4 linked regions of the Schizosaccharomyces pombe genome follow. Changing the gene in region 1 together with any one later gene gives a genetic interaction. Each region holds a gene or a part of one and is shown in the gene's direction. Other genes may lie near its edges. The genes, in order: nap1, SPOM_SPAC977.05C, SPOM_SPBC1604.03C and git3.

Region 1 (4,832 bases):
AAACTTCTGATACGATAGAAAGGGCTTCTTTTAGCAAGCCTTCATTTATTTTTCTTACGAATAAATCTTGGGGGTTTGGCGCTGAAGCTCATTTTATGAACAAACTAGAATTCAGTATTACCATAGGCGATATTGAAGCCCCTCTGCGTCGAGTGAGTAAGCGATTGCGGAATCCGAAGAAGTATGGAATAACCAATGATGTCGCTTATCTTCAATCTGCTTATTTGGAGCAAATCTCGGCATTACAGTATTGGAAGCAAGGACAGTATGAAAATTCTCTCTCTTTGCTTGAAACTTCCAAAATTGATCCTCGCGTAGTTATCTCCCTCTATCCAGATCTCTATCATTCGGAGCTTTCCTATATTGCTTTTCAAGGTGTCATTAGTTTTCGCAAAAGCATATTGTCCGTCGATGATACTGTTGCTAATGTTTTAAAATCTAATGAATTGTTTCGTGATACTGATCAATACACTCAGAGACAAATGATTGAAATTACTAAGGAAAACGCATACATCATGTTGATGCGTTATCTGAAAAATTACAAAAAGAACACGAGCATATCTGAGTATCTTTTATCTTCGCAAAGAGACGTGATGCTTGCTGTAGAGCATTCGTTATTACTCCTTTATTTAAATATGGATGATTTAGCCGCCGGTACCAAAAATGCTAAGGAGTTGTTAGAGTCTGGTCTAACTGGTGTTGAAGATATAAAAGATGTGTTGATACAGAAGAAAGAGTATTATTTACTCTCCGTGTTATTGGCTACTGTAAGGGATCACGATGGTGTTCTTCAAACTTGGAAGAAATTAATAACAGGGGATTATGAAGATCGGAGATTCAACGATGGGTTAATTAAAATACGAGAATATTTGGTTAATGATATTGAGCCTTCGACATTCTGGGAATTTACTACATGGCTTTGTAAACACGATGCAACGGAGGGTACGCGCGTTTTGCTTGACAAAACAGTTAGTGGATCCATTTCTGCAGAGGACGTGTTAGAGCATTTGGATTCTTCTCAAGATGATGTTTTGATTGATTACCTTGTAAAGTCGAATTCCGTCACTCATCGAGCGCTACTTTTAAAGTTGTGCGTTAATAAGTTGCTTGGCAGTTTATTGGATCATAACGATTTTAAAAATCGCCTTGAGACTGCCATTGAAACATTTAGGGAGCTTCCTTGCATGGAGAAACCTACGTATGCCCAATACTTGGAACAACTTTGGGGGGACATGAGTGATTTCAGTACTCATCTTTCATTTTACTATTTGTGTTCTATTAATCTGATGGAAAATGTTGAAGAAGAATCTATAGATAAAATAAAAGATATTTTGTTCGACATTCATGTTGACAATTTATATCTATTTCCTCAACTTGAACACTCGTTTTACAAAAGGAAGAAGAATTATGAAAAAGCTTTATCCGTTTTGGTTACGAATATTCATGACTATAAGGGCGGTGAAGCATACTGTCTTCAAATTGATGATGTTTATCCTCAGTGTTGGTGCAATTTGCTCGAAAAATGTATATCAACAGGAGATGGATGTAGTGATTTTATTAAAGAACTATTGTATCGTCGACCCTTTTCTTATACGCTTTCCTACGTGTGCGAGCAAATTCCAGATCATTGGAATCTTAACTTATTAGCAGATTTTTTGTGTATATTGCAAAAAAGAAATGCTGAGCGTTTGAATGAATCCCAAACTCGTTTAACACTTGAGAAGTCGTTGTCTCAAAATTTGGAAGAGTTGTTCATGGCTATTAATCGTCGTAATGTAGCCTTGGGCAAAAACGAAATTTAACCCAGTAACATTTAAAAAGTAACCTTTGGTTCAGCAAAGTTTTTACCTCAATTTTCGATACTTATTCGACTGATGTTTAATTTAATGATAGAATAATTTCAATGAGACAAAAAGATTCTAGCTTCAAAATGTTGTTAGAATATAAAGGGCTTTCTTCTACAGTTAATTCAGCTCTTCCTGATCTTTACTAGTCTTAAAAATATAAATAATATTAACTATGAGCCTAAATTCATCGAATTTTATTTTTAAAAACCCCCTTCGGGAATAAAGAAAGTGTCCGTAACACAACGATGCACTGTTCACTAAGGTCGGAAACCCCGAGGATGAGCTCGGAAGTTCCGCGGGTAGGTAGATTCCCAGGGTGCAGCAAATATTCTTACACTTAGCTTCTACCACTACCCTTCCCAGTGTTATTAAAAGGACGTACGGAAAGCGTCTGAAGCATAATTGATTGCTGGAACAAGTAGAATTAATATGGTAGAGAACGTTAATATTAATAACAAAAGGGCCGGAAAAATGTCTGCCGCCCCAACTCCCCATAACACCCCATCGGGGACGAGCGCTCCCAACTTTGGTGCGAAGGCTCCTCAAGTAAATACTATTGACGAAGGAGATGAGAATTTAGAGGCTATCGACGGAAAATTGGGTTCTTTATTACATCTCACTTCAGAAGGAGTTTCAGAATTGCCTGAAGCCGTGCAAAGAAGGATTTCTGGACTTCGTGGTTTGCAAAAGCGATACAGCGACTTGGAGTCTCAATTCCAAAAAGAGCTGTTTGAGTTGGAAAAAGCTTATGCAAAGAAGTACGCACCTATTTTTAAGAGAAGATCTGAGGTTGTTCGTGGCGCTGACGAACCTACCGAGGAGGAAATTAAGAAGGGTGAAGCTGCCGATGAGAACGAAAAGAAAGAACCTACTTCTTCTGAGTCTAAGAAACAAGAAGGTGGTGATGATACTAAGGGTATTCCTGAGTTCTGGTTGACCGCTATGAAGAATGTTTTGTCTTTGTCTGAAATGATTACTCCCGAAGATGAAGGAGCTTTAAGTCACCTTGTGGATATTCGCATTTCCTATATGGAAAAGCCTGGTTTCAAATTAGAATTTGAATTTGCTGAAAACCCATTCTTTACTAACAAGATTCTCACCAAAACTTATTATTACATGGAGGAATCTGGCCCGTCCAACGTTTTCTTGTATGATCATGCTGAGGGCGATAAGGTTGATTGGAAAGAAAATGCCGATTTGACTGTTCGTACCGTTACTAAAAAGCAACGCAATAAAAACACTAAACAAACTCGTGTCGTAAAGGTTTCCGTTCCTCGTGACAGTTTCTTCAACTTTTTTAATCCCCCAACTCCTCCATCTGAGGAAGACGAAGAATCGGAGAGCCCTGAATTGGATGAATTGTTGGAACTTGACTATCAAATCGGTGAGGACTTCAAAGAGAAACTCATTCCTCGTGCCGTTGAGTGGTTTACTGGTGAGGCTTTAGCTCTTGAAAACTATGACGGATTCAGCGACTTAGATGTTGAAGAGGATGAAGATGATGTTGAATCCTCTTCTAACGAAGAAGTTTCCGATTCCGATGAGGAGGACAGTGATAGCAAGCACACTGCTCATGGCCAGCAAAACGCTGCTGAGTGCCGTCAGCAATAAACAATTTCGATAATGTGCATATATTATGGGGTTAATAACAATGGGTTTTCTGTGTTTTGACTAAAGGAAAGATACTTGAAAAGTATGATTCTTGAGGTTTTCATGCAACATTTGTAAACCTTTTGTTGTACAGGATAGGTTCGGACCACATGTGAGTGCTTGCGGACGAGATTCTGCAAGTTTATAAAGTTTTTAAATATCTTCCAATTTATCGAGTTTTTTTCGTTTATCAAATAAAAATGCTTACAGTCGACGTGTTTTATTTTTTACTGGAATTGGTGGTTTTGAGATGAATGGCTTTAAAAGACCTAAACGACATCGTCTACATAATGGGAGGTGTGATCGTTCTTGGCGAATTTTCCGAGTTTCTAGTTTGAGTACGAAAGCCTTTAAAGATTTTGGAATGCTTATATTTGATCAATCATGATGAAAACGCTCGGACAAACTTGGACGTTTTAATATTTTCTTGCCTTTTTTTTCAATCAAATGCTTGCGAAAAGAACTAGTGATAGTTTTTTATTGTTAGTTTAGACCAAGTTGAAAACACTGACTGTAAAAATTGACCTTTAGTAAAGCTTAAAAAAGAGAACCCTTTTTACGAGCTTTTCTAGAAAATAATGCTTTGTTTTGACTTAGAAGTAAGCAATTGAGAATTCATAGTATGAATGGGTTGCATCCTAGTTAGTCTACTCTACCCAAGAAGTTGGGAAGGTATAACTAAACCCGATGTGTTTACATAAAAGGCTATTTCGAAAGAAATGAGTGTCAAAGTTTATCAAAAATACGATTTGTTTTTTTTTCGTTTTTTTAGACATAAAGAAGCTTGCAATTCTTGGAGTAAGAAGGAAACTAAAAAAATGCGGAGCGCATTGTAAAAGAGTGTTCGGTTGTTATAGTAAGTTCGTCTAGCGTTTAACAGATACCAGTTTTGTTTTTTAAAGTTAGAATCATCAAATAATGGAGATGATTACAATTGGGATGGAGGATTGCATACTACAATTTATCTTAGTCTAAATTTAAAGCATATTTGACATATCTCTTACAACATCTAATATTTTAATTTTAATACTTGCCTTAAATATATTATAGCTTTTATAATTTTCGACTTAGACACTATGCCTGAGTGGTTAAAGGGACAGACTAGAAATCTGTTGCGGTCTCCGCGCGCAGGTTCAAATCCTGCTGGTGTCGAAAATTTTTGGCAATTTTTATATTGAAAATTCTTTATATTCATTTGCAACTTAAGAATGTTTTTAGTATATAATGCAAAGGTCCTAAATAAAACAGCGTCCAATTTGATGGAATGCGTTTAGTTGTATAATATTGTTGCAGCAATTTGGTGGACTCAAAACACTGAAAGTCAATTCAAATTTA
Region 2 (2,932 bases), on another chromosome or scaffold:
TTCGAGTAGTTAGTCAGAAGTTATTGTTTTGATACACATAACCTTACTTGAATAATGTTACAAAAAAGAAAAATTATAATGGAAATAGATGAATCTAAAACAAATTTAATTTTTAAGCGATAAAATTGAAACAAACATTCGTCAACAAACTACTCTAAAATTTCACCTGCTACTAGTTTTACTACGAAAACGTAATATACTAGGGTTTCACAAGGTAAGTCATACATTCTAAATTTCTCCTTCCAGCATTTTGAAAATATCTTCTTTGCTCTAGACTTTGTTAAATACAGATGTAATAATATATGTTAACCACAAACTGCACCTACTTGACATGTGAATGGATGATATCTAAGAGGTGAAATTCAAATCTAAAGTAATGTTATGCAACATCTGTTAATTGTGTTTGTATTTCTTCTTAAAAATAATTACACATTTAACACGAAGCCATGAAAAGCGTTAGAGGTTTCGCCTCTAACTGATTTAAAAAGGAAACCCAAATTTTTTCCCTTCTTAATTTATGTAAAAGTATTGAGAAATACCTAGTTATAAAGATGAAATTTCGAATATTTCAAATTTCATATAAAGAAAGATTTCTTTACAAGAAATGAATGAGTTTTAAGAATATATTCACAACAAAGCATTTGATAAAATTGATTTATTAAGTATGCATTGAAACATTCTAATGAGATTTTTTAAAGGAAACTGCAAAAAAATAGGGCGGTATATATGCAACTCGTTAAAGACGAGTAGTATAAGAATTGCTTCGCTTTCTTCAAAGACTAAATATGGAAAAAGAGTGGGGGATTACTATATTAACAAGTTTTCAGAACAGAAACAGAAACAATTACAACTATCTACAACCGAGAATCTCTTTAATTAATGTTTTCCAGTTCAGTCTGGTTGAAGATTCGTTTTTTGGCTTCTAAGTTAAAATCCAAGTAAATAACTGACGGGTATTTTATTTTAGAATAAATCGATAGGAATCCGAATCGTTTATAATATAATAAACGGGATAAAAGCTACTCATATTGCTAATGATAATCCAGTAGGCATACTACGACTGAAGAAACATAATTTTTTTTCGAATTTTTCCTTATCTAATGGAACCAGTACCATTTCGTGAATTAGCAGATTTTCATTTGTTTGTTTTGGCCTCGTTATTCAAATTCAATAATGTAATGGAAGATTTTCCAAGAATAATAGACGTTGATAACAATGGGTGGGAAACCGCAAATTTTGTTTGAAAATCAGAGGGAAGATCTACACAACAAAAAGAGCAACAAATTTGAGCAGTAGAGAAAAGACCAAAAAAGCGTGTGTTTTCTGAGACAAATGTGTCACAACTCGCCGATAAATTCGCAATCACATAAAAATTGGTATTCGTTATTGACTAGTGGGAAAACCACGTTACCTCAACGATTTGCAGTTGTTACCACTTTTGGTGACATTTCAAAAAGAAAAAGGTGATTTGCAACGTTTGAAATTGCGACGATCATGATCTACGCGAAAATATCTCATTTTATATATGTACGAGTTAATCTATTTTTGTTGCTGAAAAAAGAAAAAAAAAACTATATAAACCGACTAAAATCAAACATTTCTTTACAAACATTCAAAAGATATTTCCATATGATTTTCAAAAACTTAATATCTCTCTTTTTCATTGGGCTCGCTACCGCCATACGCTTCAACCTCACTGATCTTGAGTGTAGTAGACTACGCGGTCCGCATTGTGGTACGTATCTACTGAAAGTAGTAGGAACGAATGCTACATACGTTGGTGAAAAATCATTTATAGGTCTTGATGCTTTGACTGAAAGTAAAGGTGAATTTTTTCAGCGTATGTTGGAACAAGAACCTCGACTTATTCCACGTTTGTTTACGATAGCTGAAAACGACACGGCCAACTTTACTCCCTTGACATTTACAACGTATTTGAAAACATGCAATCCTCAAAGTATTGAAAATGCAATGATCCCTTTTGTGAATACTGTTACCAGTGAAATTTCTTTTGATGCATGGGCGTATACAGCACAAAATTCAAGTCGGATAACGGGTCTTAGCAACCAACTGATGAATTCTACTCTATATAATGTTCAAGTAGCAACATGTACTCCCGGATTCTCTGCGTTATTGTTAGATAGTCCTACAATCAATGTTTTTAATAACGAGGAAGGCATGCCAAGTTGGTGTCAGCCCATTGAACTTATACCAGTTTGTCCTTTGGATGAGGGATTCAACTGATATATATATAATCGTTATTTAAATCGTGGGATTTAAAAATAGGGGTTAAATTTATCCTCTAAAAACATTTAATTAGAAACGCTTAAGCAATAAAAGTCTTTATACTAGATAAAATATTGTAAATTGTTTTTTTTATTTTTTTTTTTTATTTTAAACTTATACTAAACATATTTTCTAACAAATAACGGAATTCATAAGTATTTTGATTTTGTTTATGTGTTTTTCGCTTTTTATTGTGTTTTAATGGTAAGGAAAAGTTATAGCATACTTCATTTTACTAGTGAAAAAAGCATAACAGGAAATCTTTTAAGTTAGCGACAAACAGTTACTCGGCTTCCAAGCGGTTGCAAATCATTCGTAGTAGATCGACAATCTTGGAATGAGTCTATCAAACAAATCCGCGCTAGGCAGTACGCTAAAATGAACAGCAACACATTTGATTTTACCGAGTATTGAGTATTCTCATCGTCGTTATAACCATTAACGGATTTGTACGTTTTGTTTATCTTCACAGAGCCAAGAGATCAAAGAAGGACTGAGGTGCGTTAAGTACGGTCCAACATGTAATTATGTTCTTTGTCACAAATTAGAGCCACAGATCCTAAAAGTCTAAAATACGAGACAAGGTATGATTTTTCAAACTGTCCCTAGAATAAGAGTTGATCAGCCAAAATTATTGTGCAAGATG
Region 3 (3,802 bases), on another chromosome or scaffold:
TGGTCATTCATAGCGAGATTCTCTGTTAAATGTTTTAACTTTGAAAAAGCCACAAATTCGGCAGCACCATATACTAAGTAAAGCAGTTCAGCAACCACGTTTCCTCTCCACAAAGCTCGTACGCCTTCCTTCTGAACAGTCTCTTTAAAGACCGGCCTCAACGAAGACTGGGTAATTTGCATACGAATTTTTATCACATCAAATGGTGCTATCATAAATCTAGTTTAAATCGTTAATTGACTATTTCCCTGCCACTTAGCCATACCGACAAATTACGGATGAAATGCCACCAGCCAAAGTGTAATGCCAAACAGGTTGGGCAAACTCTTGCGAGTCCTTTTGCTTTGCAAGGCCCATCGATAGTGTTTGTTTCTACAATCGGCAATTAATTATTACAAAGCCGGAGGCGTAAGATTTGTTTAAATCTTATAACTGTTGGTTTAACTACAATCTCGGGTATTTTGTATTCACGTATAAGTGTAATGGGAGTTCAAAAATTTCGCCCACCGAATTACACGAACAAATACTGTTTGCGGCTTTTCCGATTAGACTTTTTGAGCACACATCTCAGTTAATATAGAATATTGATTAATTAACTTACCGGATGTAAGATGCCGGATCAAGTGTAGTTCACAGTTGTAAAACTAAAAAAAAAATCAATGTATACGGACGAAATTATGTAAAAAAAAGTCTTTGGCTGTTAAACGATCTTTTTAAAAATCTGCAATTTATTTAAAAGCCATGCAAGGAAATCCCAAAGTTTCCTTCCTTTAACTGAACACTTAAAGCCATAGTAAAGCAACTTTGAAATAACTCAAGTAATTTATTGAGCTTCAAAGAATTTGTCAATCCTGCTTTGTATTCGTGCTATCATTGAATACAATAGTCGGTACAAATTACTACTAGAGTTTGTACGCAACAGCTGGATATGACTAAAAACAAGAACATGTAGTTGTTAAATTAGTTAGTACTGATGTCTGCTACTTTCATCTTCTGTTTTCTTATGTTCAAAAGAATGTTATCGCTTAATATTTCAGTCTTGAGGAACGAAATGGATTTTTAAACGCAAGATTCCGCTTACATAATTTAATTGTTTCACAATAAAATAGCTATTTTGCTATATAAATAACTTTTTGAGATATTATAATCTGTTATTTTTTTAATAATAAATGTATGGTCAATTTCGTGTCCGTACGGATAAAATGTTAGAACATGCTACAAATTTCAAGAACAATCGCCTTTTGGTTTCTCGTTTACCCCATTCTGTTCGTTAGGCATTCTCAATTTAGTGCATTCCATACAACATCAATACGTTCATATTACAACATAAGACAGCTGAGATGGTAATGTGCAGGATGTATAAAAGTAATCCATCAAATACCACAACGAAATGAAATGAAAATTTATTAATTTTTTACTTTTGGAACACTTATAGCTCTTCTGTTGACAAAGCAAATATGCGTAGATTTTCCCTTCCTTCCCACGTTTTATTTACAGTAGACATCTGATAACTAAAATGTTTAAATCATTACTCTCTATTTTTTGGTAGCGCCATAAAAAAAAAACTATAAAAAAGCAATTAAAAAATAAAAATTTTATTATTTATATTAGTTTCTCTGTATATATGCAACTATGAGTGCGAGGTTTCAACACTTGTCGCATACACTCCTTTCTTGTCATGCACTTTTAAACAATTAAAGCGATTTATGTTAATTGCACATCAAACAAATTTATCGTAAAAGCTTCTTCAATTACTAGAAAAAATGAAGAAGGCTTTAGATGTATTCATACTCGACTTGACGTTTATCAAAGGTGAATGGTCTTTAGCTAAACCATTGCTCTAAGTAATGACTTTACATTACTGATATAACTATCTATCAATTCATGAAAATGATAAACCATCAAATACCTCTACCAATTACATATAAATTCCTCTTATTATCTTCTGTACCCCCTAGCTCGTTGTGTTTCACTATAGGGTTAGATGAACTGCATTTAACGATCGTCTCTAGGCCTGAAAAAAGCATAAAAATAGTTGATTTAAATTTTTTGACTCAAAAATGGGAGCCATTCTTTCGACACCTAAAACGCCAATAGAAGTTAGGAGGAAGAGAATTGTTCCTTTGTTTCGTGCTAATCACACACGATTTCGACCAGTTGATGAAAAGAACCGTATAAACGCTGTACCTCTTTTACTGTTAGGATGTTTGTATGGAAAGTACAAAGACGACGATTTTGTTGATTTTTTTGACAAAGCCATTCCGTTATTAGTACCGCAGACACACAAAGGTCTAGATACATACGAAATCGATGTATCCACATACAAAACTCACATAGGTCATCCAAAGTTTATTGAACCATTTGTACTATTCTATGGAGATAGGCTTGTTCATGATGCACGCTACAACCTCCATGAGTTAGTTTGGCAAACTTTAAGTCGCAACCCTGAATATATCAAAGGTCTGTGTTACGATAGTTGTACACCACTTGCTAATCTAGCCGTTGGTCTCAGTCTTAATATTCAAGAGGTTCTCATTGATTGTTTTGCTACTGCTGCTTGTTTTACAACAGAGGATACTAGTATTAATCCAATCCCTACCTTGCCTAGTGTTTTTTGTACCATAGTTGACGATGAGGGTATTTCTCTTAAAGAGCTTCTCTACATTATTGAAGAATCTCTTCTTAAAAATGCAATTCCTGATCCATTTTCCGTCTCTACCTACACTTTAAAGTCTGCCTTTGAGCATTTGGTGAAAAAAGATTTCCTAAAGTATTATACTGCGTATCTGGCGTCTTCTGCTGTTGACTACATAGATGCCTATTTTACTGAAAGTTTTGGATCTTTTTTTATTTCTCGTCTTGCTTCACAATTTTTGGTCTCTTTTCAGACTCTCCCTTCTTTCTTCTCCTTTCCTTTAGTTACTGATAATTGGCAACACTTGGCTGCTCTGCCATTCAACAGCACTTATGAAACCTTTCGTGCATTCGATCATCCTTCTACTAATGGGCCAGCTATCGGTCCTTTGTATAATGCCGCTCCAGCTCCCCGTTAGCATTTACTTAAGTTTATATTACATTTGTTTAGCATTTTTTTGTTAATTGAGTAGACTTAATGAATATTACTAAATGTCTCGTTATATGCACTATCAAATTTGTAAGCCCTCGTTGGGAAGTAACCCGAACAGCTCTCGTTGTGTTGACTCCTTTTATTCACAAAGCACAGAGAAGCTAGACATTGCCGGTGTCGTGCTTTTATCATCGCATTTTATCGTTTTAGTTTAGTTTTTGTTAACCCATAAAACCCCCCTCTCTTTAGCCTGGTTGCAGACAAAATTTGGTACCCTCAATATTTTTTGCTTCGTCTAACGCTCAGCTAGCGGTTATCTACCAACCATAGGTTATTACCTTTTATTTATATATAATATTTCTAGTAGTTTATGCAGCTGCTATTTCATTAGTTTCTTTGCATATGCTGAAAAGGGCTCATTATGTAGCCCTCCATGTCACTCTTAATCATAATGGGCTGTCTTATCAAAGAGTTTTCAGTTGCTTGACACAATTTCCTATGTTAAGGCATTCAAGTACTGCTGCCAAAAATAATGTTTCGATGATTTCAAAGTTTCAGGCCCCCGAAGATAAGTTCTTCCCTTCATTTTCTTTAAAATCTATGCCAAAGCAATCGTCGCACATGTCGGCTTCATTGCTTAATAGCCTTAATACCAGCATGAAAAAGTCATTTTCTCGTAAAAAGTACAGGGAAGCCGTAAGCTTGTTTCGAAAAAATTTATGGAAGTATGAAGAA
Region 4 (6,531 bases), 1.1 Mb from region 1:
CCAAATGCCCCTTCGAAGTGATACATCAATTGAAAGTATTACTGCGTCACAACAACCCACTTGGGATGAAAACGTGGTGATAACTTCATCACCTTTTAATCCCAATCGTAATGCCTACTCTTACGGTGCAAACTCACAATACCCCATTATTGCTGCTACGCCGCTGAACTCTCAGACACAGGCTTCGTGGGTTGCTCAACCGGAGAACCAAGCATACGCAAATTTGATTCCATCACCCCCAACGACTTCACAAATCCTACCAACAGAACTTACTGAAGAGGAAAAGCAATTACGCTCCAAGGTATTATTCTATCTAAAACAAGACAGCTTCATCCAATTATGTCAAAGTTTGGAACGGGTATGGAACAAGATGTAGGAAGACAGACCAATTCAACTTAATCCCAAATTTAAAAAAGTAGTAAAAATGGAACGAAATCAGGATCGGAATGGTTATTTCGACAAAATTGATGTGTGACCACAATTTGGCAACCAAATGAGAAACTTCATTAAGTTCACATTCTTCGAGTACCGTGATAAAACATTTGTTGCAAATTTTGACATTATTTAACGAAAAGTTGGTCGAGATCTCAACTGCATATGATCGTTGCTGAGGATTAGCAAACAGAAACCGCCAACACAACAATGTTGAAATAAATTTCTCTACTTGTTGCATGACTCTTTTCCCTTAGGCTTGTCCATGCAGAGCATTAAAATCAAATTGAGAAGATCCCGTTCCGATCCTTGGGGTGTAAGCCTCCACCACGACACATAATCGGTATCAAAAGACAACTCTGAAAACTTTTTGATGGGGGAATTGCCGCAAGTACAGCATGAATACTAGTGTTAATAATGGGTCAGGTTACAACGGTTAAAATTGAGTTGGTGGTTGGTTTTGATAATTGACTTAACAATCCACGAGAGGAGTTCATGACATTAAGTACGAAAATGGTCAAATAGTTAGTTTAACTTCAAAAATAGACGAACCAAGTGGAGAAAGTAAATGTTCCGAGCACCAAAAAAAAAACATGATATTTTTTAAAGGGATGAAACAGCTAGAACGTTATGAGTGTAAAAAGGATTTTTTTTTTTTTTTTGGGTACTTCCGAGAGAGACAACAGTCTACAAAGCTTCACAATGATTTCAATGTCCGTGAAGTAAACCTTAAAATGTCGAATCGACTTTGAAGGGTTGCATGCGAATTATCAAATAATGTTTAAAAGTGTTGTCAATGGAAAATGAATCCCGTTTCCCATTTCACTTAATCTAGCTTATCTGCCTAATCGGCACTTAAGGTAGATGGAAACCAGAGAATATTCTTTTTTCCTCAAAACAAAAACGCCCCCGCTAGTAAACCTAAAGACAATACCGACTAACGATATTGTGATTTTCACTTGGTGGAATTGGCGGAAATGTTTTCAAAGATATGAAGGCATAACCGGATCAAACGGTTTCGACAATGCTAATAGAATTCTCTTCACGTGGACGAACCGGTTTCCAAGGAGAATAAAGACATAATAATAAAATTTAACACTCCTTGTTTTATTTCGACAATATTTATTGGTCTGGTCCGAATTGTTCATTTTGGTAACTACAACATTACTCCCTATTTTTAAGCACGTTTTCATTACCCCTAATTGAAACTTGATTCTATCAACTTTCAATTTACCGGGGCTCGTTTTATTATTCTATTCTCACCATCATTCGATTTTCGCTTCATTTCTGTTGAGGGACTGCTTCCTAGATTGGTGTTTAACGCTTATCGCAACGCATGGAGTTGCATTTCATCCATTTTCTTTTGAAAATAAAGTGTGACCTCTTCTTGTGCCTAATATTGACTTGACTTTAAACACTGTAAAAATAAACGCTGTTTTTTAAAACCATCAATAACTTTAAATCATCGGTTCCTTTTTTTCTTTTATAACGAGGACTTTCTCATTAACGCACTCTGAAATGATTCTTTTCACCCTGATTTTTTTTATGCGATTGTATTTGCTCCTCACGATATACTATACTAATCACTATCGTACTTAAAAAATAGGCCGATCGTCCGAACCTCGTTTGTCTGTGCAAAAACAACTCTCGTCATTCTTACACAAAAATTTCGTTTACAGCGATACTACAAATTTTTTTCATAAGTTATAATGGTTGGTGGTAGCACATCTAGGAGTGTGAAAGCATCGCCGATATTGTGTTAGTGCGACAAGGCTCATCAAGGGATTAGGGAAATTTTTTCTTCAATAGTCTTGCTAGAAAATTACTCGGAATTTGAATCGTTGTCGATATTTTTTTTTCTGAAATTACAATTGTTCATTGTCTCTGCGTAGGTGCAAATTTCTGATTTGCTCTACAGCTTGTGATCTTAAATCTACTTAGTCAATCGACTCTGTACTATTGACGCCTGGGCCCCCTCACATAATTCAATTGCGATCTTTTTTTTTATTCTTCTTCTGTGGACTTAAGGTGCGGAGACTTTGGTTTATTTGTCTCCTCTTGTGTTTCTGTCAAGCCCGTGTGCTTGCATATTTTTTCAGAAAAATCCCGCATTGGTACTTAACTACTGTACTTGCTATAACACCTTATCCATTAGTCGTTGAGGTATATTTGTGCATATTCACTACACACTCATACACAACAGCAAAGGCGGCAACTCTCCGCCATCATTACTTATAATCAAGCCAACTCCATCAGCCAACCCAAACCACGGCGCCTTCAATTGATTTGTCTTTTCCTTAATTATCGGTAAATTTCACCGATTTGATTTAGTACCGCTTTATTCACTGTACGGCGTTAATTGCAAGCCATACCGCCTCCGATTTCCCTATTCTTCAATATCCTTAAGAAGGTTCGCCACGCTATTAAGAGCCTTGCAAAACGTGCATAAGTGGCTTTGAGCTCTAAGTGACTTCACTAGTGCTTTCTTTATAAGCACAATACATCGTTGGTTGTTCACGTCAATTGCGCTTTTCTTCTTGCCAAGAGTGTCGAGACGGGACTGCGCTTTATTAATAATCGTCGGCACCGTTTTGCGTCCGGCTTTCCTGGTTGCATTCGTTTATCACTTTTGAGCTGCTTCGTCGGCCACGATTAAAGGAAAAAGCAGTAGATTTACTATTTCAACTTTTACCTTTAACAGTTTAATCGTGTGTCTACAACTTTCGAAAGAATAGTTGAGTTAATTGAAAAGTAAAGACGAGAAGCTTGTTTTTGGAAAAAAGAAAACAGAAACAAAAATAAAAGTACGGGAATTCAAATTCATATTCGAAACAAACTCGTTTAGTTTAGAGAGCTCCTTCTATATTGCCAGTTTGCTAAGTTTTTTACATCAACTTGAAGAGACTGTTTATATTCGCGAACGAAGCAATTTATAGAAAATCGAGGGTCAGATATGCAATCTTGGGTAATTGGATATACGAGATATACTATTTTTTGCACTTCTTAAGGGTAATAGGACTGATTACCCAAGTGGCTGAAAATTCTGTTTTGCTTTCTTGTTTGTCTATTTGAACATTTCTGAAGTCATAGATTTGTCTTTGGAGTATTCCTTTTTTTTTTGTCTTTTTTTTTGTTTTTCGTTCTGATATTGCTTTTCTTGTTTTTTACTTTCTCACCTCCTCTCCTCTCTTTTTTTTTCCTGTCTTCTTGAAGAGAAGTTTAAACTTTGTAATAAGGAACAAGGTTGCTCATGCTTCATTTAGATTATACGTTTAATGTTTCCGATGCCACGAGTACGAGTTCCATCATCATTGTCTCTCGCAGAGAGTTAGCTAACCTGAGAATCATGGTCATTATAGCTTCAGCCATATCTATCGTTTTCAGCTTAATTGCTATCTTCTGGCGATGGTCTCGTCGGCGAACAATACGTGAACAATTTCATATCGCTCTTTTTTCTGTATTGTTTATTCGTTCCATTGTGCAAATGATTCATCCATGTCTAGCATTAAGCGATCCTTTTTTTTGGGCTCCAAAACATCGATGCTTTACAATTGGATTTTTTCTTTTGGTACTTGTTCGGATGACTGATTATTGGATTTTTATCAACATATTGCATAATGCTCTTTTGGTGCTTTTCCCCCATGTTGATACTGAACGAAGGGGTCTATATCGTTTTCGGCATACTGTGTTTACACTGTCATTTGTAATTCCTTTAACTATTGGCGGACTTGCTTTTACCAATAAAAGAAATACATTTGTCAATTTACAAACCCGATGCTACCTTCCCTATACCCCTGTACGATTCATGTTTGGTTTGAATTGGTCATTTGATTATGCGCTAAGTATTGCAATTATTGCTTTACAAACTTGCATGTTCATCTCGATCAGAAGGAAAATCAAACGTTTCAAGAAATACTCACATCAACAAACAAATGTGTTTGATACTTTAAATGTCATTGATTCGTATCCTACCGCTCCGGATCAAGTAGCTCTTCCACCATTTCCCGACACCAACAGTACTTTAACATATACTCCATCTAATTCTCAATCCATTTACTCCTCGCAGTCTCAACCTTCTCCCTATTCGAGACCGTTACTATCCTCTGTGCATCCTAATTTGCCTCCTGGTTCGCAGTCTACTCCTGCTAATCTAAATCAATCAGGAATACATTTCGAACAGGATTTTAGGGATAGTCCAAATCGCACAAATGGCCTTGAAGATCACACGAGTTTTAAACTCAGTAGTCCATTGACTAGTGACGAAGATGGTGCTTCTAGTGTTTTGGCTGCATATGGAAATGATATGCAAGATGATCCCCTCCTTAAACAACGGAAACGCATTTTAAGTCAGTCTAAGTTTTTGTTTGCTTATCCTGCAATTTTTATCTTTATGTGGATTCTCCCTCAAATACAGATTATCGTTATACTTGCCCAACCGTTGCACTGCTCTGGTTCATGCAAACGATTCGCATTTGTTGCAGTCTTTGCAGACAACTTCGTTGCCATCTTTATTGCCTTGTCAGATTTTATTTGGATTTGTTATCGTGGCTACACGTATTTGAAGGAAAGAGATTCGAGTAAAAGTTATTGGGATCAAATAAAGGAGTTGACTTTAAAATGGTGGCGGGGTAAATTTGGTGAGGAAAAATAGAAGGATTTGTTCTTTTTATTTTTGTTTATGGTGAAGTCTCACAAGCTCCTCTTCTTGTATTATAATTTCTTTTTATGACGATTTTATTATCACTTTACTTCTTAAAATTTTCTCATAGCCTTTGCATTCATATGTCTTCCTTTTTTGTTAAAGCCATCCAGTGAATGACAATGGAATGTGAATGGAAACAACTGTGGTAAACCAACTAATATTTTAATATCTCCCATTTTTGCATCACCTCTAATATATGTCATACTTTAATTTTCGCTTCCCAGAATTTATTTCGAAGTATTAAATTTTGGCACTACTTAACTTGGCAAAAGGCTCGGATTGGAAGATGGTTTAAAGCTTGGCTGCTTCAAATTGATAAGGCCGCTCACAATTATCGATGTATATATATGTACTGTGTCTATGACAGTTTTCTATTCATCTCGGGGAATTCATTTTTGGAACGCTTAGTCGCCTAAACAATTCTTCCTTATATAGAATGTTTATGTTCAGCTTTACCAACTATCATTCACTCGTTTTCATTTTTCAGATGCTCTTACATTTTACTGCTTGCATTAAGCATCTGTCTTCAAAACTATATTCAAAATTTATGTCCCCAATACTATATTTCCTCAATACATAAAATGGATGGATTGTGCATAGCAATACGTTTATGTTCTTATTTTGTATATGTCGATGTGCGAATAGTCATTCACCATTAGCTATTCTTTTGTTGTGGATAAATCGCTTTTCTTCCTATACGATTTGTAAAATTGCGTCGGACATTTGTTCCATGCCTTCTTGTTACATATGAATGTGTTAATGTTTACAAATTTAATAATGTATTTTTTAGTTTTTCTTTACATTTGGTAAAGCAGAATGGTAGCACAGTATCTGATTGCTTTAAGCGTTTTAAGTCAATTGAGCATCCCGTGATTAGTAGGTTTTTGTATTGAAAACTATACGGTTATAGAGAAAAAAAGTAGATGTAAGATGGTTTTCTAAATAAAACAGTTAATTTTATTACATTGTAGTATATAAGCACGCTTGCTTGATTTTATTCTTTTCGGTACACCACCGCGAAACGCGACTCGTAACTTGTACTAAACACACCACTGAAAAGTAGACTACTCGTGGAATCAGCTGTAACTTTATATTCAATTATTTAAAAATCACTCTCTAAAAGATCGCAGATATATTTTTAAGTGGTTGATTTGCTTTTTCATCGCTCTTTAATTCACCCTAACAAACTTTCATAATTTGAGATAATACGTGCTCATGGCTTATGATGCTTTTGGCAAGCCGGGCTATGGTCCCGACTTCAATAGCGCTTTTTCTCCAGGAATGGGAGGAGGCGCTGGATTTAATGAATATGATCAATCGAGCCAGCCCAGCGTCGATAGAGTAAGTGGGATAAAATACTAAAACTATTGTTTGAATAACCGCAAGGTGATACTTTT

What was found.
Region 2: mutations in nap1 (region 1) and SPOM_SPAC977.05C together harm fitness more than expected from each alone (negative genetic interaction), as found in Schizosaccharomyces pombe (one large-scale study listed by BioGRID).
Region 3: mutations in nap1 (region 1) and SPOM_SPBC1604.03C together harm fitness more than expected from each alone (negative genetic interaction), as found in Schizosaccharomyces pombe (one large-scale study listed by BioGRID).
Region 4: mutations in nap1 (region 1) and git3 together harm fitness more than expected from each alone (negative genetic interaction), as found in Schizosaccharomyces pombe (one large-scale study listed by BioGRID).

What each region holds. Positions count from the first base shown.
Region 1 is NC_003421.2:473,016-477,847, reverse strand, and holds nap1 (histone H2A-H2B chaperone Nap1), read left to right. Parts: upstream 1-2,186; 5' UTR 2,187-2,276; coding exon 2,277-3,458; 3' UTR 3,459-4,250; downstream 4,251-4,832. Other genes in the region: GTPase regulator Vps3, read left to right, coding at 1-1,802.
Region 2 is NC_003424.3:35,080-38,011, reverse strand, and holds SPOM_SPAC977.05C (Vel1p domain-containing protein), read left to right. Parts: upstream 1-1,629; coding exon 1,630-2,244; downstream 2,245-2,932.
Region 3 is NC_003423.3:3,924,954-3,928,755, forward strand, and holds SPOM_SPBC1604.03C (uncharacterized protein), read left to right. Parts: upstream 1-2,016; 5' UTR 2,017-2,060; coding exon 2,061-3,053; 3' UTR 3,054-3,146; downstream 3,147-3,802. Other genes in the region: SPOM_SPBC1604.04 (thiamine pyrophosphate transporter), read right to left, coding at 1-219, 266-357; PPR repeat-containing protein Ppr1, read left to right, coding at 3,470-3,802.
Region 4 is NC_003421.2:1,541,733-1,548,263, reverse strand, and holds git3 (G-protein-coupled receptor Git3), read left to right. Parts: upstream 1-2,168; 5' UTR 2,169-3,682; coding exon 3,683-5,083; 3' UTR 5,084-5,931; downstream 5,932-6,531. Other genes in the region: meiotic recombination protein Rec7, read left to right, coding at 1-376; single-stranded DNA-binding protein Ssb2, read left to right, coding at 6,350-6,475. UniProt on the Schizosaccharomyces pombe protein: G protein-coupled receptor (GPCR) that senses glucose and signals via the heterotrimeric G protein alpha subunit gpa2 to activate adenylate cyclase and PKA signaling, and suppress sexual development and gluconeogenesis.